Linked DNA regions of Saccharomyces cerevisiae S288C. The protein of the gene in region 1 purifies or fractionates together with the protein of each later gene. This does not show direct contact. Each region holds a gene or a part of one and is shown in the gene's direction. Other genes may lie near its edges. The genes, in order: YGR026W and RTN1.

Evidence for each region.
Region 2: the proteins of YGR026W (region 1) and RTN1 purify together in Saccharomyces cerevisiae (affinity purification with mass spectrometry, with the first as the bait; one study listed by BioGRID). This does not show direct contact.

Annotation. Positions count from the first base shown.
Region 1 is NC_001139.9:524,048-539,902, forward strand, and holds YGR026W (uncharacterized protein), read left to right. Parts: upstream 1-8,937; coding exon 8,938-9,774; downstream 9,775-15,855. Other genes in the region: YGR017W (uncharacterized protein), read left to right, coding at 1-633; YGR018C (uncharacterized protein), read right to left, coding at 318-647; UGA1 (4-aminobutyrate transaminase), read left to right, coding at 1,182-2,597; VMA7 (H(+)-transporting V1 sector ATPase subunit F), read right to left, coding at 2,926-3,282; post-initiation translation factor DPC29, read left to right, coding at 3,585-4,457; MTL1 (Mtl1p), read left to right, coding at 5,217-6,872; THG1 (tRNA guanylyltransferase), read right to left, coding at 7,836-8,549; YGR025W (uncharacterized protein), read left to right, coding at 8,592-8,894; 40S ribosomal protein eS25 RPS25A, read right to left, coding at 10,085-10,411; YGR027W-A (gag protein), read left to right, coding at 12,010-13,332.
Region 2 is NC_001136.10:916,348-932,240, reverse strand, and holds RTN1 (Rtn1p), read left to right. Parts: upstream 1-1,883; coding exon 1,884-2,771; downstream 2,772-15,893. Other genes in the region: homoaconitate hydratase LYS4, read right to left, coding at 1-1,112; HEM1 (5-aminolevulinate synthase), read right to left, coding at 3,143-4,789; COX20 (Cox20p), read left to right, coding at 5,331-5,948; IVY1 (Ivy1p), read right to left, coding at 6,095-7,456; PCF11 (Pcf11p), read left to right, coding at 8,435-10,315; chromatin-silencing protein SIR4, read right to left, coding at 10,594-14,670; adenylate kinase ADK1, read right to left, coding at 15,087-15,755.

The DNA of each region.
Region 1 (15,855 bases):
GAGACTCCATTTTTCGAAGCATGTTTCTATTTCCCGGAAACTTGGGAGCAGTATCGCTTCAGTGGCCAATGCTTTACAATATCTAAACAATTTAAGAAAATACCGGCTGAGATTGTAACCAAGTATGACATATTTTCACCGCGGTTTTCAGAGACAAATGATGACAGCACTGACGAAGAAATAGATACTCCAATTAACGACGACGACGACGACGATAAAAATAATGACGCCGACAATAATGACATTAACGAAGATAACAAACTTATAGAATCCATAGAGAACGATGAACACCATGAGGATGAAGACGACTACTACCCTCAACCACAAGAATGGGAGGCTGAATTACTAAGACAATGGTCCTCTCTATCAAGGCATACCAAGTCATTGTATAGGAAGCCAGCCCCGGGCCAGAAACTTACCTCTGAAACTAGCAAACAACTGGACAAACTCCATAGAGGAGTTGACGGTGCTAAAGAGGACGCTGGACTGGAAAACTTTGGTATTGTCTGTCTTTGTGTTGATTCTGTTGATTTTTTGAACTTGAAAGAGGGAAGAGGTGGTGAAAGATGGATTTTCCAGAAAACCGACGGCAAAGACGAAGATCTGTGGGAGGAACAAGAAGTGTGTCCGTGAGAAATGTCAATCATTATTGCTAACGTTCGCGATGGTTAATGCTTTGTATTCGCGCTATCTCGATTTCTACCTATATAGTTAATCTCTGTACAAAAACAATCTTTCCAACTATCCATTAATCATAGTATATTATCAGCGTCGGCGATTTTACCACGCTTGACAAAAGCCGCGGGCGGGATTCCTGTGGGTAGTGGCACCGGCAGTTAATCTAATCAAAGGCGCTTGAAGGAAGAGATAGATAATAGAACAAAGCAATCGCCGCTTTGGACGGCAAATATGTTTATCCATTGGTGCGGTGATTGGATATGATTTGTCTCCAGTAGTATAAGCAAGCGCCAGATCTGTTTACTGTAAAATTAAGTGAGTAATCTCGCGGGATGTAATGATTTAAGGGAATCTGGTTCAGGTTTTCACATATATTTGTATATAAGGCCATTTGTAATTTCAATAGTTTTAGGATTTTTCCTTCTCCCAAAATACTCACTTACTGTGTTACATTACAGAAAGAACAGACAAGAAACCGTCAATAAGAAATATAACTAAGAACAATGTCTATTTGTGAACAATACTACCCAGAAGAGCCAACCAAACCAACTGTTAAGACCGAGTCCATTCCTGGTCCTGAATCCCAGAAGCAGTTAAAGGAACTGGGTGAAGTTTTTGACACAAGACCAGCATATTTTTTGGCTGATTATGAGAAATCTTTAGGTAACTATATCACTGATGTGGATGGGAACACATATTTGGATTTGTATGCCCAAATCTCTTCAATTGCACTTGGTTATAACAACCCTGCTTTGATCAAGGCAGCACAATCACCAGAAATGATCCGTGCTTTGGTCGACCGTCCTGCCTTAGGTAACTTCCCATCTAAGGATTTAGACAAGATATTGAAGCAAATATTGAAATCTGCGCCAAAGGGTCAAGATCACGTCTGGTCAGGGCTTTCCGGTGCAGATGCCAATGAATTAGCGTTCAAGGCTGCCTTTATTTATTACCGTGCCAAACAAAGGGGCTATGATGCCGATTTTTCTGAAAAGGAAAACTTGTCTGTCATGGACAATGACGCCCCTGGCGCCCCTCATCTTGCCGTACTATCGTTCAAGAGAGCGTTCCACGGTAGATTGTTTGCCTCCGGTTCCACAACTTGTTCTAAACCAATTCACAAGTTGGATTTCCCAGCCTTCCACTGGCCTCATGCTGAGTATCCATCTTACCAATACCCATTAGATGAAAATTCTGATGCAAACCGTAAAGAGGATGACCATTGCTTGGCCATTGTTGAAGAATTAATCAAAACCTGGTCTATTCCAGTTGCTGCCTTAATCATCGAACCAATTCAATCTGAGGGAGGTGATAACCACGCTTCTAAGTATTTCTTACAAAAGCTAAGAGACATTACCTTGAAGTATAACGTTGTCTACATCATAGATGAAGTGCAAACAGGTGTCGGAGCCACCGGTAAGCTATGGTGTCATGAGTACGCCGATATTCAACCACCTGTGGATTTAGTGACCTTTTCCAAGAAATTCCAAAGTGCAGGATATTTCTTCCACGACCCTAAATTCATTCCAAACAAACCATACAGACAATTCAACACATGGTGTGGTGAACCTGCAAGAATGATCATTGCAGGTGCCATTGGACAGGAAATCTCCGACAAGAAGTTGACTGAACAATGTTCAAGAGTAGGTGATTATTTGTTCAAGAAATTGGAGGGTTTGCAGAAGAAATACCCTGAAAACTTTCAAAACTTGAGAGGTAAAGGAAGAGGCACATTCATTGCCTGGGATTTGCCTACTGGTGAGAAGAGAGACTTACTATTGAAGAAATTGAAGTTGAATGGTTGCAACGTTGGTGGATGTGCAGTCCATGCAGTGAGATTAAGACCTTCATTAACATTCGAGGAGAAGCATGCTGATATCTTTATTGAAGCATTAGCCAAATCAGTTAATGAATTATGATTGTATATTAGCGAGGCCGTGTCACGTTCCCTTTTTTGGTCTTTATATATGTGTATCTTGTTATAATTTTAAAGAAAAGTTTTATATTACTCATCAGTTGTGTGTGAAAAATATGGGCGGGTATTCACAATAGGAAAAAAAAAATGGGTTTGGTGACTGCAGTAAAGACGTGCTAAAAAAAAAAAAGTTGTTTTTATCTGAACCTTAAATATATCATTTATGAGTGTATATATTATACAAACGCAATAACAGTGGCTCCCGCCCTCCACCTCCGCCTGCTACTAGTAATCTACCAGTAATTGTGTTTGTTTTGGGAAAGATCGTTCGCTTACTCACCGAACAACTTTCTGACTCTCTTCAATACAGAGTCCTTTTCAGGGTCGTAGGGATGATCTTTAGATGGAATTTCTAAAATAGCAGGGAACGCATTGGTGAAGGAGTCCACTCTAGCTCTTATGTTTTCCGCGATATGTTGGTTGATTAGAAGGATGGCAATATCGTCTCTCTCTTCAGTAAAGTGATTAAACTTGTCAGTGATTTCCTCCTTAGTAGTCTTACCTTCTTGGTAAACAAAAAAGTTCTTTTCTTGGGTTTCAGGAGTGATTTGTCCAATCCCGGCTAACAATAAACCAGTTGTAGTATCTTCGTCAGCTATCACAGCTATAAGAGTACGTTTCTCAGCCATGATTTAGTTACTATGCGTCAGTGAGACTAGCTATGAATATAGAAATGTAGTGCTCTATTTTCTTAATTCTTTGTCAACTCGATATAATAAATGTAGTGCTTGCAATTCACGTTGGTTTTCCTGTTATCGTTCGCCTTTATTTTTTTTTTTTCTTTCGTTTTCCTACTTCCCTTTACCGGCGTAAGCGCAGTGAAATTTTTTTAGTACGCACGTACGCAAGTTTCAGCAGCAATAAGGGGAAAGATGATGATAATAACTAAGAAAAACAGCAAACTTGGTATGAACGCATCAAAAATTGGAAAATGTTGGTAAGAAATAGGTATCTGGGTGAACTGCTCAAAAACTCTCGATCGTTTAGTGTGCTGAATTCCTCGGTACGTTCAGGTCACAACAAATGGTCAACCATCAAGCACGGTAAAGCCAAGAATGATGCGGAACGAAACAAAATTAATAACAAGTTTGCAAACCAGATAGCAATGTCAGTCAAGTTAGGCAACGGTATTACGGATCCGAGCATGAATATAAGATTAGCCACCAGCATCGAGCTAGCAAATAAAAACAATGTCAGCAAAAAAGTTATTGAGAACGCCATCCGGAAAGCTTCTGGAAGCAGCGCATCGGGCAAGGACTCAAACGCTTCTGAGCTATGTGTATACGAGGGAATGGGGCCCGGCGGGGTCGCTATAGTGGTGGAAGCGCTGACAGACAACAAGAACAGGACCATAGGTCTGATAAGGAGTGCATTTAATAAAGCTAATGGATCGATGACTCCAACGTTGTTTTTCTTCGACAAAAAAGGATACGTTACAATGGTACCTCCGAAGATGTTAGACACTGAGGACAAGGTGCTAGAAAGCGTACTGGAGATTCAAGGCATCGAAGACATTGCGCCTGTGCAGGAAGACGCAGAAGATTTAGAGTGTGATACCGAAACTGAAACTACAGGCCAAACTTACGAGGCGGTGATGGAACCTGCCGATACCAATAAGGTGGCCGCCCTACTGAAGGAGCGTGGTTTCCACATCAGAGACTTGGGCATCGGCTACAATGCCAAGCCGGATATGGAAGTTTTCGTGCAAGGCGATGAAACGCTCGAGAAACTACAGAAACTGACCACAGCGCTCGAGGACATCGACGAAGTGACGTCGTTGTACACTAACGCTAGCAACGCTTAATCCAACCAAACCGTAAATAAATAATCAATACCACAAATACCTGTATATACTAAACAAACAGTAGTAATAACTGTAATAAAGAGTAAAAACAACAACAAAGACAATCGTACGTAAAAACACCAAGCGGACACCAGCACTTGCCTGCTGCGGACTGTTGTCTGCGGACTGGCGGGGGTCGAGCAAGAACCGACGAAGTAACCGACGGAAGGCGGGCGGAGACGGAGACGCAGCCGAGATCTATTTTTACTCAGCGGTAATATTAGATCATGGCTAGGGGGATCTGGAAGTACAATGATGTGCTCTCCCCCTCTCAAACACAACACCAGGATGAACTAAGGGCTCATCTCGAAAGTCGAAGGTGCCTCATTCAGGTTATTAGTGGTGCCTGTTGTGTCTTCCATGAACAAGGAGCACTTAATTACTTGTTGTTGCATGAGATATCATTTTTTTTTTTCCCTCTTTCTTGGGGTCTTGACAGTCATCAAATCGAAGTTTTTAGTTTTTCTTCTTCGGGAAGATCAATTTTAGGTAGAAAAGTGTAGATGAAAAACGAAGGATACTGCTATTTACTGTAAGTACTCTTCGGTCCATATTGGAAGACCAAGGCATAATAAGGATATATTCCGAGGAGATAATTGGGATATAATCCTCCATTGCTTCCGAAATTTGTTTAAACACTTCTAGTTCATTTCGGGTTGGTTCGATCTTCGTTTCCACTTTTAACTTACTCCCAGTTAGTATAATATAAGTAGTTAAGGTATGGCAAGCTGCAATCCGACCAGGAAGAAGAGCTCTGCTTCAAGCCTATCTATGTGGAGAACGATTCTCATGGCGTTAACAACACTACCGCTAAGTGTTCTTTCGCAGGAGTTGGTTCCAGCTAATAGCACAACATCGAGCACAGCTCCTTCCATCACTTCGCTTTCCGCAGTTGAGTCATTTACGTCCAGTACCGATGCAACGAGCAGCGCAAGTTTATCAACGCCGAGTATAGCTTCAGTATCCTTTACTTCCTTCCCACAAAGTTCTTCACTGCTTACTCTTTCGTCAACATTATCCTCAGAACTTTCCTCTTCGTCCATGCAAGTTTCGTCGTCTTCAACATCGTCGTCTTCTTCGGAGGTTACGTCATCATCGTCATCATCATCAATATCTCCTTCCTCTTCATCATCAACAATAATATCATCGTCATCATCACTGCCGACATTCACTGTGGCATCAACATCTTCGACAGTTGCCTCCTCCACACTTTCCACTAGCTCATCGTTGGTTATCTCTACGTCTTCGTCAACGTTTACGTTTAGTTCGGAAAGTTCAAGCTCTTTGATTTCCTCTTCAATTTCAACATCCGTTTCGACTTCTTCAGTGTACGTTCCCTCCTCTTCAACTTCATCTCCACCTTCGTCCTCATCCGAATTGACATCATCCTCGTACTCATCATCCTCATCCTCATCCACCCTCTTTTCCTACTCCTCCTCATTTTCATCATCCTCATCCTCATCATCCTCATCATCATCCTCATCCTCATCATCATCATCATCATCATCATCATATTTCACCCTCTCCACATCTTCCTCTTCATCCATATACTCGTCTTCGTCATATCCTTCATTTTCATCTTCATCTTCCTCAAACCCTACCTCATCAATCACTTCTACATCCGCCTCATCTTCTATTACTCCCGCTTCCGAATATTCCAATTTGGCAAAAACCATAACTAGTATAATAGAAGGCCAGACCATCCTCTCTAACTACTATACCACAATAACGTATTCACCGACAGCATCCGCATCTTCAGGAAAAAATTCACATCACTCAGGCTTATCAAAAAAGAATCGTAATATTATCATCGGTTGTGTGGTTGGCATAGGTGCCCCCCTCATCCTAATTCTACTAATATTGATTTACATGTTTTGTGTTCAGCCTAAAAAAACGGATTTCATTGACTCTGACGGTAAAATTGTCACAGCTTATCGTAGTAACATTTTCACCAAAATATGGTATTTCTTGCTGGGTAAAAAAATTGGTGAAACAGAAAGATTCAGCTCAGATTCCCCCATCGGCAGCAATAATATTCAGAATTTTGGTGATATCGATCCAGAAGATATACTTAACAATGACAACCCCTACACCCCTAAACACACTAATGTTGAAGGCTACGACGACGACGACGACGACGACGCTAATGATGAAAACCTATCATCCAACTTCCATAACAGAGGCATAGATGATCAATACTCACCTACTAAATCTGCATCATATTCAATGTCGAATAGTAATAGTCAAGATTACAACGACGCAGATGAAGTAATGCACGATGAAAACATTCATCGTGTTTATGATGACAGCGAAGCTAGCATCGACGAGAACTATTACACGAAACCAAACAACGGCTTAAATATCACGAACTATTAAATCATAGCGAAAGCAGCTTTGCCATAACTTTTCTTCTTAAAATCACCCTCGGTCATTTCGTTCTTCTTTTTCCGATTCAATTCCTAATAATTTATGCATATTACAGAACTTTTTTTTCCCTTTTTCTGTCACAGGTTTCCCAATTTTTTTGACGACTAAATAATAACATAACCACTACGTTCACTTCCCCGTATATATACATATATACTTAATATTATAAACGCATATACTTTTATAAACTTGGAATAAGTATTATATATTTATTTTGACCATCCGGAAATGCTTTATTTTACACTTGGAAAGAAAAGTGCATTTGGAAAACTTTTACATGTCACCCAAGTGCATACTGCTGACGATACAGGTTTAGAGACTAAAGAGAGCGCATGGAAGAAAACTTCAAAGGAAGAGAAGAAGGATCGCAGAGTTCAAAGGAACTCTTAATTTGGGCCCATCTTTTGAAAATATTGTCTCTGCAAAAGCTTCGAACACCATTTTGGATCCTCTGGAGAAGGCAAGACAGAATGCAGAGGAAGCTAAGAAATTACCTTGTTAGCTTAAGGTTCCTGTTCCTAAGGGTAGCGGTCACCACAAATGGAAAAGCGACTTTCCCAATGTAATTATTTTTGTTTGTTCCGCAAGTATCTAACAATATGATATATTGCTAGTTGAAAATCGAACACTCGAGTTACTTCCGTGATAGTTTAATGGTCAGAATGGGCGCTTGTCGCGTGCCAGATCGGGGTTCAATTCCCCGTCGCGGAGATATTTTTTATCATCACAAAAATAAGATAGCAAAACTGAAGAAACGATGAGTTAGTTTTAACTTTTAAAAGATCGTCCAATATTAACATAAAGGAACCCAGTTCTTTGGAAATAACAGGAAAGTGCAGAAAGTTCATTAGAAATCAACGATGATCTGATATACATATATATATATATATATATATATATATATAAAGGTTATTAATAGCCTTCGAACAACTCATCTATCTGTGCGATGACGTTAATATGAAGTATTTCTCCTTTTCTTGTTACTAGTGAACCCTTTTTAAACATTTCAGGTTCATTATTGTAGTTTATCCCACATTCAGAAAATAGTATTTCCTGTTTCTCATTACTAAATGTTCCACATAGTTTCTTCTCGGATTCCTGGGGAGTTAAGCCACACTTTATTATTAACTGCCAAAACGTCGTATTATAAAGATTGTTTATATGTGTATCGACATATCTCCAGGATAAATAATCTTTTATCGTTTGTAAATTAGGGTATGCTACACACCTTGAATCGAAATATGGCAAATGCTTGATATTCAACGGCTTTTCTGGGAAAAACTTGGCCCATAATGCGACGTAATTGGACGTGAAAAAAGAACCAAATAAAGTCGCAAGCTTGTCTTTCCTTCTGTTAAATAAAGTTGTACTTGACTTCAAAATAAATGAGTATTCGTCACTCTCCCCGAACGCCAATATAATATCATTTTTGTACTTGAGGACAAGGTTCTTAGCACATGCATTCATTAACTTCAAAGCATTTTCATCGTTTGGCTTGGCAAACTCGTAGAACTTGGAAAATTCATGAAACTTCTTGCCGTCTATTCTTACCACAATATAACACTGAGGCAAAATAACATCGTGTGTTTCAAATTGCCTTACGTATCCAAATTTAGAGTTTGCCATCCCGCTCGCATTAGGAAGTAGAATCTTTGAACATTAAGGCACATGACTGGCTATGAGCCCTTTAAGTTTTTCTCTATCCGCATGTCTTCAATTAATTCTCCATCAGTGATTTTTAAAACAATAAAAACTTTCAATCCGGGTAAAACTGAAGAATATAGAGCGAAAAAAGCGTATGTGCAGGACAAGGGATACTTACGCCAAAAAAGACCATGTCCATTTTATTATAGGATACCCACTTGCACGGCGTCAAAGTACTCAATTGGCTGTGCTTCTTCAAAAAAACTAACATACACAAGAACCAAATTTAAATTCAACTTGGTTACCCAAAGAGAGAATTCATTATAGAAAGATATAAAAATTTTGTAGAAAAAAAACAACAACGTTGGAAATGGCGAAGACTATCAAAGTTATCAGGAAGAAGGACCCCAAAAAGAAGAACCTATCCGATCCTTTAGCAAAACAAAAACTAGTTTGGAAAATCGGACACGTTTTAACTTTAGTTTTTGGTTTATTATTTTCTATCACGTATTTCTACCATGTCCTAATCTTCTTCAAATATCGTTCCTGGAAGTGGTTGTTCTTAAGGGTCAATAAAAATTACTCGTTTATTCAAAGTAAGAGATGGTACATGAAACTTTTGAGTTGGAGCCCACAGGTAATGTACCGTTTGTCATTAATTGGCGTATTTATGTCTGAGTCCGTCACAATGCAACAGAACTGGGTTGGACTTAACCCTACTTGGAATGACCTTTTGTCCTCTGAGAACTTTCATACCCTTTTGATTGCCTGTTTATGGTTCTTTGGTGGTGGTAAGTCTTTTTACAAGATTTTGCCTTACATGATTTTAAGTTATCTACACCTAACTAAAATGAACTACGAATTGAATGCTAACAAAGAAGAAAAGATCCCTTTAACACCCAAAGACAGAAAAATGCTACACTTACTTGCGTACTCTGAATTACTTGTTATCTTAGCGCTAACACTAGACACTATATTGTTTAAGACGGGTACATCCGGATTTATGCTCGTCATTTATGTTGGTATTTATTGGTTGAGGTTGAACTTCTCTCCATACGCACAAGTGGCTGTTTTGGAGTTACTTGTCAAGTTTGAAAAATACGTCCCCAAAAAATATAGAGACAAATGGCAGGTTATAAAGAACTTTATTTATATGAAAATGAAGGAGCACGAAAAGAGAACAGAAGAAGTTGCCAGATACGCGTAAGAAATTCTCTAACTTAAGATGACCAGATGTCATGTTCGTTTACTTATTTTCCTCTCCTCTTACCTTTTTTGGCCACTAACGCTCGTACAGAAATGGACGGCATACATACAATTTAATCAATTCTCTTAAATACCGTTTTATACCTCATTTCTGACTTTTCAGCCGTTAATGTTCCTTTTTTTTTTAGACTATTGTATGTATCACTTCCTGAATGATGTCTTCCATAACACAAACGTGACGTGCAAATAAACATACATAAAAATATTATTGAAAATACAGATTATTTAAAATTATATAACCCGTTCCCTGTTTATTCAGAAGCAGTAGCTCTGGTGTAGATAGCTTGCTTGGAGTGCTTGGAGATTGGCTTGATGATACCTTCCTTTTCCAAGTGTCTCAAAGCAATTCTAGCTAAAGAACCACCAATCTTTAATCTGTCGACCAAAACAGAGACAGAAACGTATCTGTAAGTTGGAACTTCCTTCAAGATTCTGTCGTACTTCTCTTGGTCTAAAATGACAGCGTGTTGAGCTCTGTCTTTCATGGACTTTTTGGACCACTTCTTCTTAGACTTCTTACCACCAGCAAGGGCAGCAGCGGCTTTGGCAGCTTTAGATAATTGTTGCTTTGGAGGCATGATTTATTAAATGTTCTATGATAAAGTAAAAAGTAAAAACATACTTGTTAGTAAAAAACCGAACTCTAGTAGAATTTGGGATAAAGACTATTTGCTAATGACTTGAATTGTAGATTGAATTTAACTGTAAATCACCACTAAGTACGTAGTTTCCTTCTCTCAAAGTACCATGGGTAGCTAGATCTGTGCTATGGAGCATATAACAGAGACATGGATATTCATCCCATTAAGGTAGAACAGGCTTTTATGACATATTAAATCCTGGATTGGCCAGTCACTATTTCATCTTATCCGCCTAATATTGGTTTCAAATTTATAGATACATACACTAAAACTAACAGGGCTTGACGGTTTTCGATAACAAAGAATACGATTTCAATATTCAACTGAGCAATCTTAATAGTATTAAATGCTTCGTGAACTTTAAGAGATACTTCGTGAAGTTGTTCTGTCGCACAATTCTTCCTGTAGAAGGCGTCCTTCGTTTTTTTGTCTTCGCGCGTTACAGGGTAAATGAACCTCTTTATGGGTGAATGGGTTACACAAATGCACGGATGCATATATAAAATATAGAATTTTGCTTTATATTATTTTGAGCGGGCTAGAATCCACTCAGTGTACAAAGTACTATTCATTATATTGAACTGAAGAGGCAAGAACTATTTAGCTCAATCAACCACCTTAATAAAGTATTTGGAGTGATATATCGGCTTGTTTTAGTTTAATTCTTGTGGATATTTAGATATCAAGGTTGTTGGAATAAAAATCCACTATCGTCTATCAACTAATAGTTATATTATCAATATATTATCATATACGGTGTTAAGATGATGACATAAGTTATGAGAAGCTGTCATCGAAGTTAGAGGAAGCTGAAGTGCAAGGATTGATAATGTAATAGGATAATGAAACATATAAAACGGAATGAGGAATAATCGTAATATTAGTATGTAGAAATATAGATTCCATTTTGAGGATTCCTATATCCTTGAGGAGAACTTCTAGTATATTCTGTATACCTAATATTATAGCCTTTATCAACAATGGAATCCCAACAATTATCTCAACATTCCCCCATTTTTCAAAGGTAATTTTTGGAATTCCTTGCAAAGCTGTAATTAGGTATACAAAATACACTAGATACTCTACTCGACGATATAGTAATCCTCATAAGGGAATCGGTATTTCTAATATTACGTTATTTTTATTTTCTTTTACTGTTTTCTATGTTGTAGTTCATAATTCCATAACATTATTAATCCTAGTGCTTCAGCTTCCATTGAATCTGATGACTTTTTCTCTGTTGGAATAAAAATCCACTATCGTCTATCAACTAATAGTTATATTATCAATATATTATCATATACGGTGTTAAGATGATGACATAAGTTATGAGAAGCTGTCATCGAAGTTAGAGGAAGCTGAAACGCAAGGATTGATAATGTAATAGGATCAATGAATATAAACATATAAAACGGAATGAGGAATAATCGTAATATTAGTATGTAGAAATATAGATTCCATTTTGAGGATTCCTATATCCTCGAGGAGAACTTCTAGTATATTCTGTATACCTAATATTATAGCCTTTATCAACAATGGAATCCCAACAATTATCTCAACATTCACATATTTCTCATGGTAGCGCCTGTGCTTCGGTTACTTCTAAGGAAGTCCACACAAATCAAGATCCGTTAGACGTTTCAGCTTCCAAAACAGAAGAATGTGAGAAGGCTTCCACTAAGGCTAACTCTCAACAGACAACAACACCTGCTTCATCAGCTGTTCCAGAGAACCCCCATCATGCCTCTCCTCAAACTGCTCAGTCACATTCACCACAGAATGGGCCGTACCCACAGCAGTGCATGATGACCCAAAACCAAGCCAATCCATCTGGTTGGTCATTTTACGGACACCCATCTATGATTCCGTATACACCTTATCAAATGTCGCCTATGTACTTTCCACCTGGGCCACAATCACAGTTTCCGCAGTATCCATCATCAGTTGGAACGCCTCTGAGCACTCCATCACCTGAGTCAGGTAATACATTTACTGATTCATCCTCAGCGGACTCTGATATGACATCCACTAAAAAATATGTCAGACCACCACCAATGTTAACCTCACCTAATGACTTTCCAAATTGGGTTAAAACATACATCAAATTTTTACAAAACTCGAATCTCGGTGGTATTATTCCGACAGTAAACGGAAAACCCGTACGTCAGATCACTGATGATGAACTCACCTTCTTGTATAACACTTTTCAAATATTTGCTCCCTCTCAATTCCTACCTACCTGGGTCAAAGACATCCTATCCGTTGATTATACGGATATCATGAAAATTCTTTCCAAAAGTATTGAAAAAATGCAATCTGATACCCAAGAGGCAAACGACATTGTGACCCTGGCAAATTTGCAATATAATGGCAGTACACCTGCAGATGCATTTGAAACAAAAGTCACAAACATTATCGACAGACTGAACAATAATGGCATTCATATCAATAACAAGGTCGCATGCCAATTAATTATGAGAGGTCTATCTGGCGAATATAAATTTTTACGCTACACACGTCATCGACATCTAAATATGACAGTCGCTGAACTGTTCTTAGATATCCATGCTATTTATGAAGAACAACAGGGATCGAGAAACAGCAAACCTAATTACAGGAGAAATCTGAGTGATGAGAAGAATGATTCTCGCAGCTATACGAATACAACCAAACCCAAAGTTATAGCTCGGAATCCTCAAAAAACAAATAATTCGAAATCGAAAACAGCCAGGGCTCACAATGTATCCACATCTAATAACTCTCCCAGCACGGACAACGATTCCATCAGTAAATCAACTACTGAACCGATTCAATTGAACAATAAGCACGACCTTCACCTTAGGCCAGGAACTTACTGAATCTACGGTAAATCACACTAATCATTCTGATGATGAACTCCCTGGACACCTCCTTCTCGATTCAGGAGCATCACGAACCCTTATAAGATCTGCTCATCACATACACTCAGCATCATCTAATCCTGACATAAACGTAGTTGATGCTCAAAAAAGAAATATACCAATTAACGCTATTGGTGACCTACAATTTCACTTCCAGGACAACACCAAAACATCAATAAAGGTATTGCACACTCCTAACATAGCCTATGACTTACTCAGTTTGAATGAATTGGCTGCAGTAGATATCACAGCATGCTTTACCAAAAACGTCTTAGAACGATCTGACGGCACTGTACTTGCACCTATCGTACAATATGGAGACTTTTACTGGGTATCTAAAAGGTACTTGCTTCCATCAAATATCTCCGTACCCACCATCAATAATGTCCATACAAGTGAAAGTACACGCAAATATCCTTATCCTTTCATTCATCGAATGCTTGCGCATGCCAATGCACAGACAATTCGATACTCACTTAAAAATAACACCATCACGTATTTTAACGAATCAGATGTCGACTGGTCTAGTGCTATTGACTATCAATGTCCTGATTGTTTAATCGGCAAAAGCACCAAACACAGACATATCAAAGGTTCACGACTAAAATACCAAAATTCATACGAACCCTTTCAATACCTACATACTGACATATTTGGTCCAGTTCACAACCTACCAAAAAGTGCACCATCCTATTTCATCTCATTTACTGATGAGACAACAAAATTCCGTTGGGTTTATCCATTGCACGACCGTCGCGAGGACTCTATCCTCGATGTATTTACCACGATACTAGCTTTCATTAAAAACCAATTTCAGGCCAGTGTCTTGGTTATACAAATGGACCGTGGTTCTGAGTATACTAACAGAACTCTCCATAAATTCCTTGAAAAAAATGGTATAACTCCATGCTATACAACCACAGCGGATTCCCGAGCACATGGAGTCGCTGAACGGCTAAACCGTACCTTATTAGATGACTGCCGTACTCAACTGCAATGTAGTGGTTTACCGAACCATTTATGGTTCTCTGCAATCGAATTTTCTACTATTGTGAGAAATTCACTAGCTTCACCTAAAAGCAAAAAATCTGCAAGACAACATGCTGGCTTGGCAGGACTTGATATCAGTACTTTGTTACCTTTCGGTCAACCTGTTATCGTCAATGATCACAACCCTAACTCCAAAATACATCCTCGTGGCATCCCAGGCTACGCTCTACATCCGTCTCGAAACTCTTATGGATATATCATCTATCTTCCATCCTTAAAGAAGACAGTAGATACAACTAACTATGTTATTCTTCAGGGCAAGGAATCCAGATTAGATCAATTCAATTACGACGCACTCACTTTCGATGAAGACTTAAACCGTTTAACTGCTTCATATCATTCGTTCATTGCGTCAAATGAGATCCAAGAATCCAATGATCTTAACATAGAATCTGACCATGACTTCCAATCCGACATTGAACTACATCCTGAGCAACCGAGAAATGTCCTTTCAAAAGCTGTGAGTCCAACCGATTCCACACCTCCGTCAACTCATACTGAAGATTCGAAACGTGTTTCTAAAACCAATATTCGCGCACCCAGAGAAGTTGACCCCAACATATCTGAATCTAATATTCTTCCATCAAAGAAGAGATCTAGCACCCCCCAAATTTCCAATATCGAGAGTACCGGTTCGGGTGGTATGCATAAATTAAATGTTCCTTTACTTGCTCCCATGTCCCAATCTAACACACATGAGTCGTCGCACGCCAGTAAATCTAAAGATTTCAGACACTCAGACTCGTACAGTGAAAATGAGACTAATCATACAAACGTACCAATATCCAGTACGGGTGGTACCAACAACAAAACTGTTCCGCAGATAAGTGACCAAGAGACTGAGAAAAGGATTATACACCGTTCACCTTCAATCGATGCTTCTCCACCGGAAAATAATTCATCGCACAATATTGTTCCTATCAAAACGCCAACTACTGTTTCTGAACAGAATACCGAGGAATCTATCATCGCTGATCTCCCACTCCCTGATCTACCTCCAGAATCTCCTACCGAATTCCCTGACCCATTTAAAGAACTCCCACCGATCAATTCTCGTCAAACTAATTCCAGTTTGGGTGGTATTGGTGACTCTAATGCCTATACTACTATCAACAGTAAGAAAAGATCATTAGAAGATAATGAAACTGAAATTAAGGTATCACGAGACACATGGAATACTAAGAATATGCGTAGTTTAGAACCTCCGAGATCGAAGAAACGAATTCACCTGATTGCAGCTGTAAAAGCAGTAAAATCAATCAAACCAATACGGACAACCTTACGATACGATGAGGCAATCACCTATAATAAAGATATTAAAGAAAAAGAAAAATATATCGAGGCATACCACAAAGAAGTCAATCAACTGTTGAAGATGAAAACTTGGGACACTGACGAATATTATGACAGAAAAGAAATAGACCCTAAAAG
Region 2 (15,893 bases), on another chromosome or scaffold:
ACACCTGGAGCCACCTTGTTGACTTTGTTTAAGTCTCCAGTAGGACAAACCACATCCGCTGCAGATTGCAAATCAGATAGACGGGAGTTTGTACATGACACTAGATAAGCTTTATTTATCTTGATGTCTTGTTGAGATAGATCTTGCACGGTGTTGGAGACCTTAACACTATTTGGACCTGAGACGTAGTGAGTTAGCGTGGCTAGATCGATGATCAGTTTCTTGGCATAATGTGCATCCTTGTCTGCTTTCGGAATCTTCGCCTTTTCTTCTAGTGCGCGGATAGTCTTTGGATTAATCCTTGGATGATTATTGGTGCCCAGCTTTTGCAAACGGTTTTTATACCAGTCGATCAAAGTTTTGTCCACGGGGAACAAACCAGAAAGAGCCCCCCACTCGGTGGTCATGTTAGCAATAGTGAGTCTGTGATCGATAGGCAATGCATTCAAAGAGTCACCCGTGAATTCAATGGCGTGATTTAGAACTTGATCATTGTTGAAAAGCCCACATAATGCGACAATGATATCTTTTCCGGAAACACCCTGAGGCAATTGACCTTTCAACTCAACCTGAGCCACTGGTGGGATCTGCCACCACGTCTGTCCCGTGGCCCATATGGCTGCAGCGTCTGTTCTCACTATTGGAGTGCCCAGCGACCCCAGACCACCGTAGGTGTTTGAATGCGAGTCAGATGCGACAGTCATGTTCAAGGGGAAAGCATAGCCCTCCTCAATCATAATTTGATGACCAATACCTCTACCGGCAGGGTAGTGGTCTATATGGTGTTTCTTAGCAAAATTTTCGATGTTCTTGTACTTGGTCAAATTTTTCTCTGATTTGTTCTGAATATCGTGGTCCAGAGTGGTCACAATCTGTGAAGGATTCTTGATCTTGGTAGCGCCAAGCCCCATGAATTTCAAAGCTACAGGCCACGAATTATCGTGGGACATACAGTGTGCCGGCTTGATCGATACATAGTCACCAGAATGCACAACTTTACCCTCGGGAAGGTTGACCGCATACGACTGAACAATTTTTTCAGTTAGGTTCTGACCTTTCAACCAGGCCCTAGAACTGTGGAACGAACGAGTAAATGTGGTTGATCGTAGCATCTTGAAGCGATACAATTTTGTTTCCTTGCAAGTTCTATTTTATTGAAAAAGTGATATTGTCTACTATAAGAGGCAGCGCAAAACTAGCTATTGCACACACAAACACACGAGGATTCTTTTGTATATATAAATACCTATGGGGATATATATATATATATATATATGTGCGTGTCTGTACGTGTGTGTGGACATGAGATTGTGTATACCTGTGTATGTTGGTGATATTTGCTGCCTCTGGTATAGACTCATCGATTACAAAATTTCAGTCATCTCGAGCAAAATCCCGGGGGAAAAAACAATAAAAATTTTTTTTTTCCAAATCGCTCCATTCTGCTCACTTGACACGAAATTGTTTATCACTTGATACGTGTACATTTTACCGGGTTTGCGGTAATTTCGCACGAACAAGCAGTGAAAAAAGTCATAGGAAAATTTTTCACCGTAGCAGCCAACGCAGTTGCGTTTTTTCCAGTTTTTCCAACACCAGAGGACAGCTTTGGCTATTCTTTTCGGTGTTTGGTGCTGTTGTATCGCTGGCTTGTGGTATCTTCTGTTTCCTATTTAAAGTTGGTCAGTGCCCCCTTTCCAGTGGGCTTCTCCCCTGTGTGGGCTGTTTCTCTTCTATGGCACTTCAACTTCGCATTTTTCAAATTTTTATTCAACAATTCCCTTTTCTTGATCTCTTTCTTTTCAACTCTCAAGCCAAATATTTAATTGTTTCTTCCTACCCGCAAGCGTATATATATATAATATATATTCACACACGCAAATATGTCCGCCTCAGCTCAACATAGCCAAGCCCAACAACAACAACAACAAAAAAGCTGTAATTGCGATTTGCTATTATGGAGGAACCCTGTTCAAACCGGTAAATATTTCGGTGGGTCTCTGTTAGCCTTGTTAATTTTGAAAAAAGTTAACTTGATCACTTTCTTTTTGAAGGTTGCCTACACTATCTTATTCACAACAGGATCTATTGAATTCGTATCCAAGCTCTTTTTGGGACAAGGTTTAATCACCAAGTATGGTCCTAAAGAATGTCCAAATATCGCCGGCTTTATTAAGCCTCATATCGATGAAGCTTTGAAACAGCTACCAGTCTTCCAAGCCCACATAAGAAAGACTGTATTCGCTCAAGTCCCTAAGCACACTTTCAAGACCGCTGTTGCCTTATTTCTACTACACAAATTCTTCTCCTGGTTCTCTATCTGGACCATCGTCTTTGTTGCTGACATTTTTACCTTCACTTTGCCAGTTATCTACCATTCCTACAAGCATGAAATTGATGCTACTGTCGCTCAAGGTGTAGAAATTTCTAAGCAAAAGACCCAAGAGTTTTCTCAAATGGCTTGCGAAAAGACAAAACCATACTTGGACAAGGTTGAATCTAAATTGGGCCCAATTTCCAACTTGGTCAAATCTAAGACTGCTCCTGTGTCTTCTACTGCCGGTCCTCAAACCGCCAGCACTTCTAAGTTGGCCGCTGATGTTCCATTGGAACCAGAGTCTAAGGCTTACACATCTTCAGCTCAAGTTATGCCAGAAGTTCCACAACACGAACCTTCCACTACCCAAGAATTTAACGTCGATGAATTGTCTAATGAATTGAAGAAAAGTACAAAAAACTTGCAAAATGAATTGGAAAAAAACAACGCTTGAGTGCTTTTTTTTTTTCATTTCAAACAAGAATAGCTAACTTTTGTCTCTTTATTTACCACTACATATTACATTAGCCTATATATACTCATACGTTTCTCTCTCTTTACTTTCTGTACCCCCGAGGAAAAATACATAAATTATTTTTGAACTTTCCCTGCTTTTTTACCAACATTGCTACAGTTTAACCATTGCAGTTAAAAGTGCTCATCGTGTTAGTTAAATAAATAAATAATTAAGAGAAATAATAATAAAGTATCATACATAAATAAGAATAAAAAAAAAAAATGAAAAAAAAAAACTGTTAATTTTTTTTTTTACTGATTTACAAATTCCTTGTACCTCTATCTCAGCCCATGCATATATTGGTTGTTTTACTGCTTGATACCACTAGAAACCTCTAGTTGTTTAACGATGGGGTCTCTAACATTAGGGTTCAAGTCGTCATTAGTTAAAGATAGTTGGCTTGATGTCCATAAGTTAGACTCTTCCACAAATCCGCTCTCTCCAACACCCAATAAGCCACCTTGGCTTTCCCAGTCTCTGACACGTGGTAACTGTAGCTCATTGAACACATCATCAACTGCATTGATTAAGATGTCAGATAAATCGTTGGTGTGACCTGGCGTTGGGGTAATTCTCAATCTTTCGGTACCGCGAGCAACCGTAGGGAAGTTGATAGCTTGTACGTAGATTTGATGCTTATTGATTAAGATGTCAGAAGCTTGCTTAGCCAAATCAGCATTACCAATCAACACTGGGACGATATGAGAAGGATTTGGAATAACTGGAATGCCCAACTCATGGAAAGCTTTCTTTACGTACATGGTATGTTTCTGTTGCGAGGTTCTTAGGTCGATGTGGCAACGTTGGTATCTAATTGCTGCGGTAGCGCCTGCCATAACTGAAGGTGGTAAAGTCGTGGTGAAAATGAAACCAGGTGCAAACGATCTGAACCAATCGATCAATTTCCTAGAGGCTGCGACGTAGCCACCTACGCTACCGAAAGACTTACCTAAAGTGCCGGTGATCATGTCGACACGGTCCATCACAGTCTTCGCGCCGCCCTTGTCATTGGTCTTTGGGGTAGCAATACCACTTGCACGGTGACTTTCAAAATCACAATGTTCTGCAACACCTGCACCGTGAGGGCCGTACAGGCCGACCGCATGTACTTCATCCAAGAAGGTCAAAGCACCGTATTTGTCGGCCAAGTCGCAAATTTTTTCTATGTCGGCCACTGAACCGGCCATAGAATATACTGATTCGAAAGCAATTAGTTTAGGAACGGATTTGGGGTATGACTGGAGCAGTTGTTCCAATTCGTTCAAGTCATTATGTTTGAAAATGTGTTTTTTTACGTTAGCATGCTTAATACCGACAATCATGGACGCATGGTTGAGTTCGTCGGAGAAAATCACCAAGTCCTTCATCTTTTGACCCAGTAGGGATAAGACGGCATCGTTGGCTACGTAACATGACGAAAAAACTAAGGCACCTTCCTTCTTGTGTAAAGTGGCCAATTCGGCTTCCAGATTCAAAGTGGGGATGTTATGGCCAGCAATGTTTCTTGTACCACCGGCACCACAACCATACTTGTCGATAGTTTTATGCATGGCGTCCAATACCTCAGGGTGCTTGGAAAGTGCTAAATAGTCGTTGGAACACCAAACGGTGACCTTGTCCGCCTCTCTCTGGCGATGAGCTAGGGGGAACTCCTTGGCCAATCGGTTGATATTGTTGAAATATCTGTACGATTTGTCAAGTCTTTTCTTCTGCAGTTCGGAATCTATCAGGCCTTCGTAATCGAAACCCGACTCCTGGGTGGAATGGTTGGCAGCAGCGGCTGCTGCTGCTGCTGCATGTGTTGATGACGCTGTGGCAGTGGCAGCAGCGGCACCAGCACCAGTAGCGGTGGCATAGCCATTTTTCGCATGTGGTGCGGCTGTCGTGGACAGCCTATTCAGTGTGGAAACAGCGGCAGAGGAGTTACCGAACCTCGCAAAAATGGAGCGTTGCATACTGAAAAAAAAACCTAAGTACTGTTATGATTATTGAGGGACAACAACTAGCTCTATTAGTTTTCCTTCCAACCAAACTTATATGGGCAATATATAGGAAAGAAAAAAGAAAAGAGTGGGATAAAAAAAAAAGAAACGCGAGCTGAGAAGGGAAGGCGTGTAAAGGAAGAACGGTTGAGAGACAGCAGAGCAGGGTGCAACACACAACCGAATAGAGTATCAGCTGACGGAATGGAGAAGTTTGGTATGATGCAAACGTTGTATTTCTAACAACGCATGGATCAGAACAATGGGCAAGGCAAGATGAAAAATTTCCGTTCCTGCTCTTTCTTCATATATGAACAATGACCAAAAAGCGCCCGCGGCCGCAGACCAATGAGCGACGAAGGCGGCCTTTCCGAGCGGTAGGGTAAGCCGTGCAGGCAAGCTTATTATAGCACCGTCGGGGGTACCACCACTATATCAAACTCCACTGCTCGGTAAAGCATTGTAGTGAAGTCCACAGCAGTGCGTAACGAGCAGCTCAACAGTTAATATAAAGATGCGTTGGTGGCCGTGGTCAAATCAGACAGAAGATCAAAAGCAGCAGCAACAACCGCAGGGTAAAGCAGATGGTGATCGCGTGCTGACAAATTACTCGCGGGGTCAAAAGATCCTCTTAGAAGACACTCCACCCAAGTTTGCCGATGACTTGTCCAATTCTCAGTTGGCCAAGAAGCAAGAACGGGCTACTTTGAAAGAGGCTTGGGACTCGATCAGATGGAGTGATTTTAGTTTGCAGAAGCTGACTTCAATCCCGTGCTTCAGAGACGCGGGCATGCTCGGGTTTTCCAGCATGTTCTTGATGGGATCTATTATATTTATATACCATAAGAGCCCGACTAAGGCCACGAATTGGGCGATGAGCTCTCTGATACTGGGCTCGATTGTCGGATGGGAGCAATGTAGGCTAAAGAGACAAAAAAGTTTCCAGATCGCACAATTGGCAAAGGAAACCGTGGCGAAAAAGGAAAAACCAATGCTCCATAATGTCCCTCATGACCCATCTCTGCCGGGGCAATGGGAGGCCGCCAAAAATGAAAAGCAGAGTCAGTTTGAACAAAGTAACCAGAATTTATCTCAGGCCTCCTCTGAGAAGAAATGGTACAAGTTCTGGTGAAAAGAACGAGGGGGAAACAGAAGGTAGAAGCAGGGCCTTTTAACCGTTTTCCTATGTATATATGCAACATTTCTCCGAAAATACTATAACTTCAATTGTTCACTTTCTCCATTTCTATATAAAAAGCATACATAGAGTTACAAATTTTATATATTACTTGACTGGTCTTGCATGCCGTCCGTATCGCTGCTGTGATTGTCATTATCTTCTTTAATGGACAATTGTTTAAACGTTTGTGTGGTTTCCTCGGCAGAGTTTCTCGTAGGCGGTAAAGAAAATGAATTTTCTGTTCCCATCAAATTGTCTGTATCCTCATCTTCGCCATTTTTGCCGCCGCCATTGTTTCGTACCCCGTCCTTGTTTGAACTTGACTGTGAATGATTCGGTGTGGATACCGTTGAGGACCCCTTGGATTTGGGTAAAGATGTTTTTGATGTGGAAGGTTGGCTGGTTCCTTCTAGTAGTTCATTGAGCACCACGTCATTCCCACCCGTTTCCTCATCGCTGTTGTATGCTTCTCCAGCAGTCTCTCCATCACCACCGATGGTCCCGTATGGCCCATCTGCTTTTTTGCTGAAGGGGTCGTCTGCATCACAAAGTAGTTCGTCTAGCCCGCCTCCAGACCAACCTTTCCTTGCAATATTTTCAGAAATTTCCACTTGTGCCCTAGATACCGTGGCAACTTTGCTGAGTACTTTGTTGCATGTATTTTCCACAAGTTCGTATGAATCCATGTAAAAATCGTGCTTTAGTGTCTCCAGTTGATCTAACCTTGCTTGCAAGCTAGAAAGGCTCTCTCGGTATGAGATTAAATTCCTTATTTTTCTTTTCGAGATATCGAAGTTATGTCTTTCCTGCAATTTCAATTTTAAACTTTGCTCTTTGCTTTGTGCTTTGAACTTGTTCTCCATTATCTTGGTCTGTAATTCGAATTCATCAATATCATCAATTAAATTATCTCCCAACAAGTCATTGAAATACTTTGACATTATAAGCTGATGATTAGATAAAAGGTAGAATAACCCACTGGCACTCAATAGTTTCTCCGCCGTTTCATCATTGCAACCCTTCAACTTGGCAATGTTTTCTAAGGAATGGGCAATTTCTGCCCCATTCTGAGATGTCTTTAATAACGAATCCGAATAAGCATTCGAGTTCCTGAGTAATGTCGATAGGGCTTCCTGGGTCTCTTTCACATCTCTCTTTGTGATTAGCGTTTGCAAGTCGTTTATTGTGCTCGTACCAGAAGTTATGCTCGATGCCCGACGGGCCTTTGAATACACTTTGGATGAACGTAAATGGTTCATGTCGTCCAGATGGTCGTTATTTTCTGAGCCAGCACTGCTAGCCACTGGTCTTTTACTATTTACAATTGGGTAAAATTCAGATAGATGAGGCGCGTATCTGTCGGGAGAGACGTCAAAATGGTTACCGTTGTCCCAGTCAACCCTCAGTCTCTGGTCACTTGAAGGAGATCCCTGCAATTGCTCCGTATTATTGTCAGGCATATCCGATTTCTCTTCCTGTTACTTTCTTTAACAATATTTTATTCCTTGGTGAAATTTAATTGACCCTTTATTCAGAATATATACTTCTATTGTATGGATATGGTTTTTTTCCACTTAATGTTTAGCATAAATTTCCATCTCACCCTTTTCTTGTAACATATCGCCCAATATTTTTTTCTTTTGCCCGCATTGACCATTTTTTCCTGTAAAACGAGTAATGTGAGCAGTAGAATAAGTGTATATCATCCGTTAAATAAGGCGCAATCTACCGAAGTTTGAGATCTAACTCAAGTTTTTATAAATTAGATACGTTTTTCCTTACTATTCTACATGAGATGGCCATTAGCATGAGATGACTTCAATACGCACTTCTGTTGGAACGCAGATAGGATGTTTACACTCGTCTGCTCTATTCTTTGTACTTTCAATAGAGCAAAGCAAGTGGTACCAATGAAGAGAAGGCCCAGCTGTTTTATTCCAGCGGCGAAGAAGTCTAGCCTATTCCTAATGTATTAGTACAGCTATACAGAACTTTCTCAGTCTAATTTTTGATGTACTTTTATACATAGATTTACACACTTTTCAAAACGTACTTACGTAGTCGGTTCAAGGGATACACCAATTTAGCCAATGAAGCTGGGCCCCAAGTGATCAGAGTTTCGTAATTGAGCTAGGATTTGCTGCTTTTTATTCCCTTTATCACCAAATGGTATTACCTAGTGCATCTAAGTTTTAGTTTACCCGGGCGAATTTTTTTTAAGGACTCGACGCATTGGATGAGAACTTGGCCTAAGGCATGGGAAGAAAGCGAAATTTCAAAAATTAATGAGACAATGTTGTTCTACTGTTAAGGGTTTAGTAGTTTAAAAGTCTCTCTTTCAATTTTGCATTGCAAAGAATTACCAGGACAATTTTCGGAGCAGTTAAGAAAACTGTACTTGAAAACACTAGGTCTATTTGTAATACTCTCTTTTCATTATGGATCACGACACAGAAGTTATAGTCAAGGATTTCAACAGTATTCTTGAAGAATTAACTTTTAACTCGAGACCCATTATTACCACTCTCACGAAGTTAGCAGAAGAAAACATTTCGTGTGCTCAATATTTTGTTGACGCCATTGAGAGTAGAATTGAAAAATGTATGCCTAAGCAGAAGCTATACGCTTTTTATGCCTTGGACTCCATTTGTAAGAATGTTGGCAGCCCATACACAATCTACTTCAGTAGAAATTTGTTTAACTTGTACAAAAGAACATACTTATTGGTGGACAACACCACAAGAACAAAACTCATCAATATGTTTAAGCTTTGGTTGAATCCTAATGACACCGGCCTGCCTCTGTTTGAAGGCTCAGCACTGGAGAAAATTGAACAGTTTTTAATAAAGGCCAGTGCTCTCCACCAGAAAAACCTGCAAGCAATGTTACCAACTCCGACTGTTCCCCTCCTATTAAGAGACATTGATAAATTAACTTGTTTAACTAGTGAAAGGCTAAAGAATCAACCAAATGATGAAAAATTAAAAATGAAACTGTTGGTTTTATCTCAGTTGAAACAAGAACTGAAAAGAGAAAAACTAACTCTCAATGCTCTGAAACAAGTTCAAATGCAACTAAGGCAGGTCTTCTCACAGGACCAACAAGTTTTGCAGGAAAGAATGAGGTATCACGAACTTCAGCAGCAACAGCAACAACAGCAGCAACAGCAACAACAACAACAGCAGCAGCAGCAGCAGTATCACGAAACTAAGGATATGGTCGGTTCTTACACACAAAACTCTAATTCAGCGATTCCATTGTTTGGAAATAATTCAGATACAACGAACCAACAGAATTCTTTATCTTCCTCTCTTTTTGGTAATATTTCTGGCGTTGAATCTTTTCAAGAAATTGAGAAAAAAAAGTCCCTAAACAAAATCAATAACCTCTATGCATCTCTTAAGGCTGAAGGGCTCATATATACTCCACCAAAAGAATCCATCGTAACGCTTTATAAAAAGCTAAATGGACACTCAAACTACTCTCTTGATTCACACGAAAAACAATTGATGAAGAACCTGCCAAAGATACCCTTATTAAATGATATTCTTTCTGACTGCAAAGCTTATTTTGCCACGGTTAACATCGACGTTTTGAATAACCCATCCCTGCAGCTGTCCGAACAAACTCTTCTTCAAGAAAATCCCATCGTCCAAAATAATCTTATTCACTTATTATACCGATCCAAGCCAAATAAATGTAGCGTGTGTGGTAAGAGATTTGGCAACTCAGAAAGTGAAAAACTACTACAAAATGAGCATTTGGACTGGCATTTCAGAATAAATACAAGAATTAAGGGATCACAAAACACAGCAAATACAGGCATAAGCAACTCTAACTTAAATACAACTACCACAAGGAAAAATATTCAATCAAGAAACTGGTATTTGAGTGACTCTCAATGGGCAGCCTTCAAAGATGATGAAATTACCTCCACAAAGCATAAAAATGATTATACTGATCCGCATGCCAATAAAAATATCGATAAAAGTGCCCTAAATATTCACGCTGATGAAAATGACGAAGGCTCTGTAGACAACACTTTAGGAAGTGATAGAAGTAACGAGTTGGAAATACGGGGAAAATATGTTGTTGTACCAGAAACTTCACAAGATATGGCCTTCAAATGTCCAATTTGTAAGGAAACCGTTACTGGCGTTTATGATGAAGAATCTGGTGAATGGGTTTGGAAAAATACTATTGAAGTGAATGGCAAATATTTCCACTCGACATGTTATCATGAAACGTCGCAAAATTCAAGCAAATCTAATAGTGGCAAGGTCGGTTTGGATGACTTAAAGAAATTGGTCACAAAATAAGAGCAGAACTGCATATATACATTTAAATTTAATAACTATATATTATATTAAATTCTTTGTTCTTGGTATTTGATGGGTTGCTCATTTGTTTATTTTTTTTTTTTTTTTTTTTGCTTATGTGTCCATTATATTATATGTAATTTTACATATGTAGCCAAAAGCCCAACTAATCATTAAAATCGATTAAAGACCGTAAAGTAAATTGTTCATTATAGAAGAAAACGACAAAGAAAAACAGGGTACACTTCGTTACTGGTCTTTTGTAGAATGATAAAAAGTCAATACGGTTTTATCTCCTTATTCACTTGAAAATCTTTTTCCATCAATTTGTTAATTTTAGCATCTTTTTCAGATATTTGACTTCTCGCATTTTCAAGACATTTCTTTGTAAAAGTTAAATCACCTTGAAGTGAAGTTATTCTAATTTCATTCCTCATAACTTCATCTGACAAAGACCGAATAATTTCATTTGCAACAGCCAATTGTTTTTCCTTTTCATCCAGCGCCGATGCTGCTTTCGACAAAACGATATCCACAAAGGAAAGACCATCTTCTTTCATGTCCTTCGAACATTCGGTGACACTATCCTTATTATCAATTTCAAGTTCTGTTTTTTGGGTTGATGTGTACATATTTGATTGTTGAGTACCAGTTTGTGAATGTGTTCCTAAAACGTCAACACTAGTTAAAATTTCTGTTGTATTACTGTCTGTTATATCGTCGAGTTGTTTCACTCGACGATCTTCAACGATTGGAACCCTTTTTCCAACAGAAAAATAGCCGTAGGACGCAGGTCTTGAGAAAGAGAGTGAGATGTTTTCTGATGCGTGCTTCCCATTTCCAGGGATTATTTTTGCTTTGTTAGAATTAAAAATACTGTCGAATTGCTTCTTTTCTGGTAGGGTTTTCGTTTCCATTGTGCTCAGCTGCACCAAAGACTTCACATCTGGCGGAGAAGAAGGCTTCACATTTTTAACCATTAACGGTTTTTTTGTAATTTGCAGTATATCCTTAGGCATAATTTTGGCATCTGCCATATGCTCGGGCTCGACCACATGTGGTTTGACCGACGTGGATATAGAAACAGGTTCACAGGACTTCTGAATATCAAATCCCATGTTGGAAACAAATCTCTGAGTCTTCATAAATGACCAAAATCTGGCTTTTTTTGCATCAGGCTTGTTCTGTAATTCGTTGTAGTAAATCTTAATTTCAGAACTCATTGGGTAATCTTCTATTTCACCTTTCAGTATAATGATGTCACTCTCTCTAAAATTATTGGAAATTGCTGATTTAAGGTTGTTAGCAAATATATCTTTAAGTAACTGCATTTTTTCGTTAATTATTTGTCTATCACTGTCGGAAAGCTCCGAAGGGAACTCATCAACCAACGAAACGGAAATAAGTTTCAAATTTGCAAGCCATTCTTGCCTCCAAGAGCTTTTTGAAAGGTTCTCCTTCGTGTTTTTGGGTTTGCTAGAATTAGTATCACTATGCGACACTCTTCTATTGCTTTTAGTAGGCGTGGTACTTAGCTTTGTTTCTTCGAATCCTAATGGAGAAGACACGGTTGGAATTTGGGATGGTTTAGCGGAAGAAGAATTTTGTTCTTGGCTATGTTTCCCTATATTGATATTTTTATTGGTCACATCATTTTTTTCAGTGTTATTTGTGTTTTCAAATGTAGAAACTGCATATAATGGCAAATATTGTAATCTGTCCTTCTTGTGCACTTGTTGGTAAAAGAAAGCACTTGATGTTTCATAGTTTTCAACAGAGCAAATGTCGTTAGTCACACTAGTTAATGGATTGCCACTTAAATAACTATGTTTTGGGATCCCTTGTTCAATAAGGTCAGTTATTGTTTCTTTATCGTATGTCGTTTTATCAGCTATCCTCCAAAGAATGTTTTTCGTCAATTCACGATCAGATTTTCGCCAATCCAATACAGGATCAAACCATTTGCCTGCCTGAATTTGGTCCTTTTCAGCACTTGTATCTAAATCATTAGTTACTTTGATTTCATTTGATTCACCAGAGCTTAAACTTTCCAAGTCAGTTAGGCTATCATTATCTGAAGAAGAATCGTCTGAGTCGGACACGTATACCAGCTCCATTTTTCCCGGGTGAGTTATTATCGTATTCATTCTCCCACGGCAGATCTTCTTTTTTTCAATTTGCTCATCCTCTGTATGATTTGCGAAAGATTTCTTTGAAGGTTGAGATAGAGAAACTGGAAAATTATCGCTATACTCATGCTTACTTGCACTAACTGGCTGAGATAGAGACACCTTATCAGTCTTATTTTCTGGCTTTTCAGTGGAAGCGATAGTTTCCAAAAAATTGGCTTTTTCTTTTGACAGAGCATCACTAGAAAAAGGTTTGCTTTCACTTTTAATGAAAGGAGCCTTGAGTACGTTTGAAAACAAATTTAATAAAGATTTGCTTTCAACAGCCTTGGAAACCGGTTCATCCTTTGATTTAACATTCTCCCGGTCAATCTCTGAGGATATTTTTGGAGCAGATTCAACCTGAAAAAGGTCATTAGTTCCAATTTTTATATCTTTTTTTTGTGTAACTTTATGTGTGGAAGGAAGAGCAGTGTTTTGTGATTTATTTAAAGGGTTTTGAATAGTTTTCTTAGCCTCATTTGATGATTCTTTCGTATGCAAAATATCTCGCACAATTTCCTTAGGCTCTAATTTCTTTTGGATGTTTATTGTACCGTTTGAGATATTTGGAGTTCGCCCTTCATTAGGCTTATGCTTTTTCATAGGATTCGGTATTTCTCCTAGCTGGGGCCTCTTTGATGGTGTAACATTCAGGGTATTGTTTCTCGAATCAATGTGGGATTCTCCTTGTACTTTTTGAAGCACTTTTCGACCATCTATTCGTACACTCTGTATCTGCTTTGTGGTTTCTTCGGTTACTTTGTTTACGTGAGCTTCAGTGCTCATGATTTCAGGCGGCCTCTTACCAATTTTCTTGTTTTCACCATTTTTATTCTTTGCAGAAGTGTTCATATCATTTTTCTTTTCTGTGCTTCGAGAAGTAGAGTTATAGTTGTTTTCTTGGCCTTCATATTCAACAAGAAAAGCAAGTTTTGTAGTTTCTTCATCTCTAGTGGAAAAATTTCGGCTGTTTCTACGCCCTTGAGGTCTGTCAGCTGGACTTTTCGACAAATGAGGTGACTTTAAGATTTCCATCCTCTTGAGGTCGGCGTCTTCCTTCATTTTTTGTTCAGATGTTATAGGCTGATGCTTCGAAGGTGCAAGTGTTTTCTCATCGTGCAGTGTTATTTTATCTTGATCAATGGCGACTTTTTTTGGAGATGGAACGATCTTCTTTGATGTTAGAGTTTCTGTCGTGGCTGACGTCCCATTGGTATCTAAGGCCGATGCGACCGTACTATTTGCACTATTCTCATCTAATTTTACTGGTTTTTCTTGATTTATTTCTAAACGCTCGTTAGTAGATTCCTCATTTATTCCATACACTTCTGTTTGTATGGCATTCGGTTTTGCAATTCCAGGACTTCTTGCCTTGCTCTCCTCCGGTGATATACCACTGTCACCGGCACTAACCTTCGGAACTGATAGTGAATCAGAATGGGCAAAGTTTTTACCTATATTCAACTTTTCTTCTTTTTTTTCTTCTACGGTATCTTTCCTGATAGATTTGTCCTTGGTCAAAGAAATCACAGAGGCGCCGATGTCTGCTGATCCTTTTTTAAGTGGCTTCTCTAAAACAGGCTGTTCGTTTGCCAAGTTTATGCCTAGAATCTCTTTAGAGTAATCCCTTATTTTCTCTTCACTTAGTAAGCTTTTTACTCCTGATAAAAATGAGTTATTGGTTTGTGATGTTGATATCGGTACTATGGTACGTACAGGCTTTGAATTGAAGGTAGAAGTTTGTTGCTGCGCATGCCGGGAAAATGCTGTTTGTTCAAAACTTGCTAGAGACCTGCTAGCATCATGTGAAGGATTGTTTGATTCAATTCTTCCTGCTGACGTTTTGGACCGAAGAAGGGAGAGTAGTTTGCTGTTGCTTATTTTTTCCAGATTTGAGTGAGGAAAAGAATTATAGTTATTTTTTTTCAGTGGTGAGGATTTTGGCTGTTGCAACTGTTTATGGGAAGTCGGTTTTACATCACTTGGTTGATGAGGTGAGGTATGAATTGCGGTTGACGGCCTTGAATAGTTTTTGCTTTTGGCAAACGTGAATAATGGAATTTTAGGTGTCTTCACTTCATTGGATTTTTCTTCTCTTTCAGGAATTTTATCATTCGGGGTTACTGGTTTTTTAGTAAACTTGGGAGTGCTGGACCTATTGGGTGTCTTATTGTCATTTGGCATTGGCTGTTTTCTTCGCTTTTTTGGTATTGTGGGTTGAAGCTTCCTTTTTTTTTTTATCCCCTGCAAAACGATGTCCAGTTAGAACTCTGACTGAATTATAAAACCTGAAAAGCGCTTATTTCGTTATAGGTTTATAAAAAGCTTCACTATTACTGTTATACCGTTTTTGTTTATGTGATGCGCTTTTGTTCATCTATTTAGTAATATGATTTGCGTTCGTTCTCAACGATAAAAATATTGACTAAGTACTTAATGGCAGTGCACATGTTTAAGGACGTTATAGCCAGTTACAAACACTTATGTTATTATTTCATTTATAGTATACTGCGGATATATGTACTCACATACAAAAATTTATTATATTTTCATTAATTTAAAAAAAAGAAAAGATATTTAGAAGACATTGCGCAAGGTCATTAATCCTTACCTAGCTTGTTCAAGATGTCAGCCCAAACAGTAGCAGGAGGTTGGGAAGCATCAACACCAGCCCAGATACCGGTCTTTTTGTAAAAGTCAACAATTGGTTCGGTTTGAGCATGGTAAGCAGCTAATCTCTTCTTCAAGGCGTCTGCATTGTCATCAGATCTTTGAACTAAAGCTTCACCGGTGACGTCATCCTTCATGTCTTCCTTTGGTGGGTTAAAGATCTTGTGGTAGGATCTGCCAGAGGCTGGGTGAATTAATCTACCGGTAATTCTGGCAACCAACAATTCATCATCAACCTTCAATTCGATGGCTTTTTCCAAAGGAGTTCCTTGTTCTTTCAACATTTGGTCCAATTTTTCAGCCTGAGGAATGGTTCTTGGGAAACCGTCCAAGATGAACCCATTCTTACAAGCTGGATTGTTGGTCAATTCATCCTTGATCATGTTAACCATAATGTCATCAGAGACTAAACCACCTTGGTCCATAATTTTCTTTGCTTCCAAACCTAATTGAGTGCCCTTTGCGATTTGAGATCTCAACATGTCACCAGTGGCCAAGTGAGCGGCATGGAAACGCTCTTGCAAATTTGGAGCTTGAGTACCTTTACCGGCACCAGGTGGGCCAATTAGGACCATTCTAATGGATTCTGAGCTAGACATTACTGTTATATTTGATGCTGTGTGGTGACTTTACCAGAGAAACGTTAATGTTTCTTTATTAAAGCTCTCGTTTCTGATAAACCAGGTAATCCATTTCAGAAATTTATGCGTATATATATATACAAATATGCGTAATAA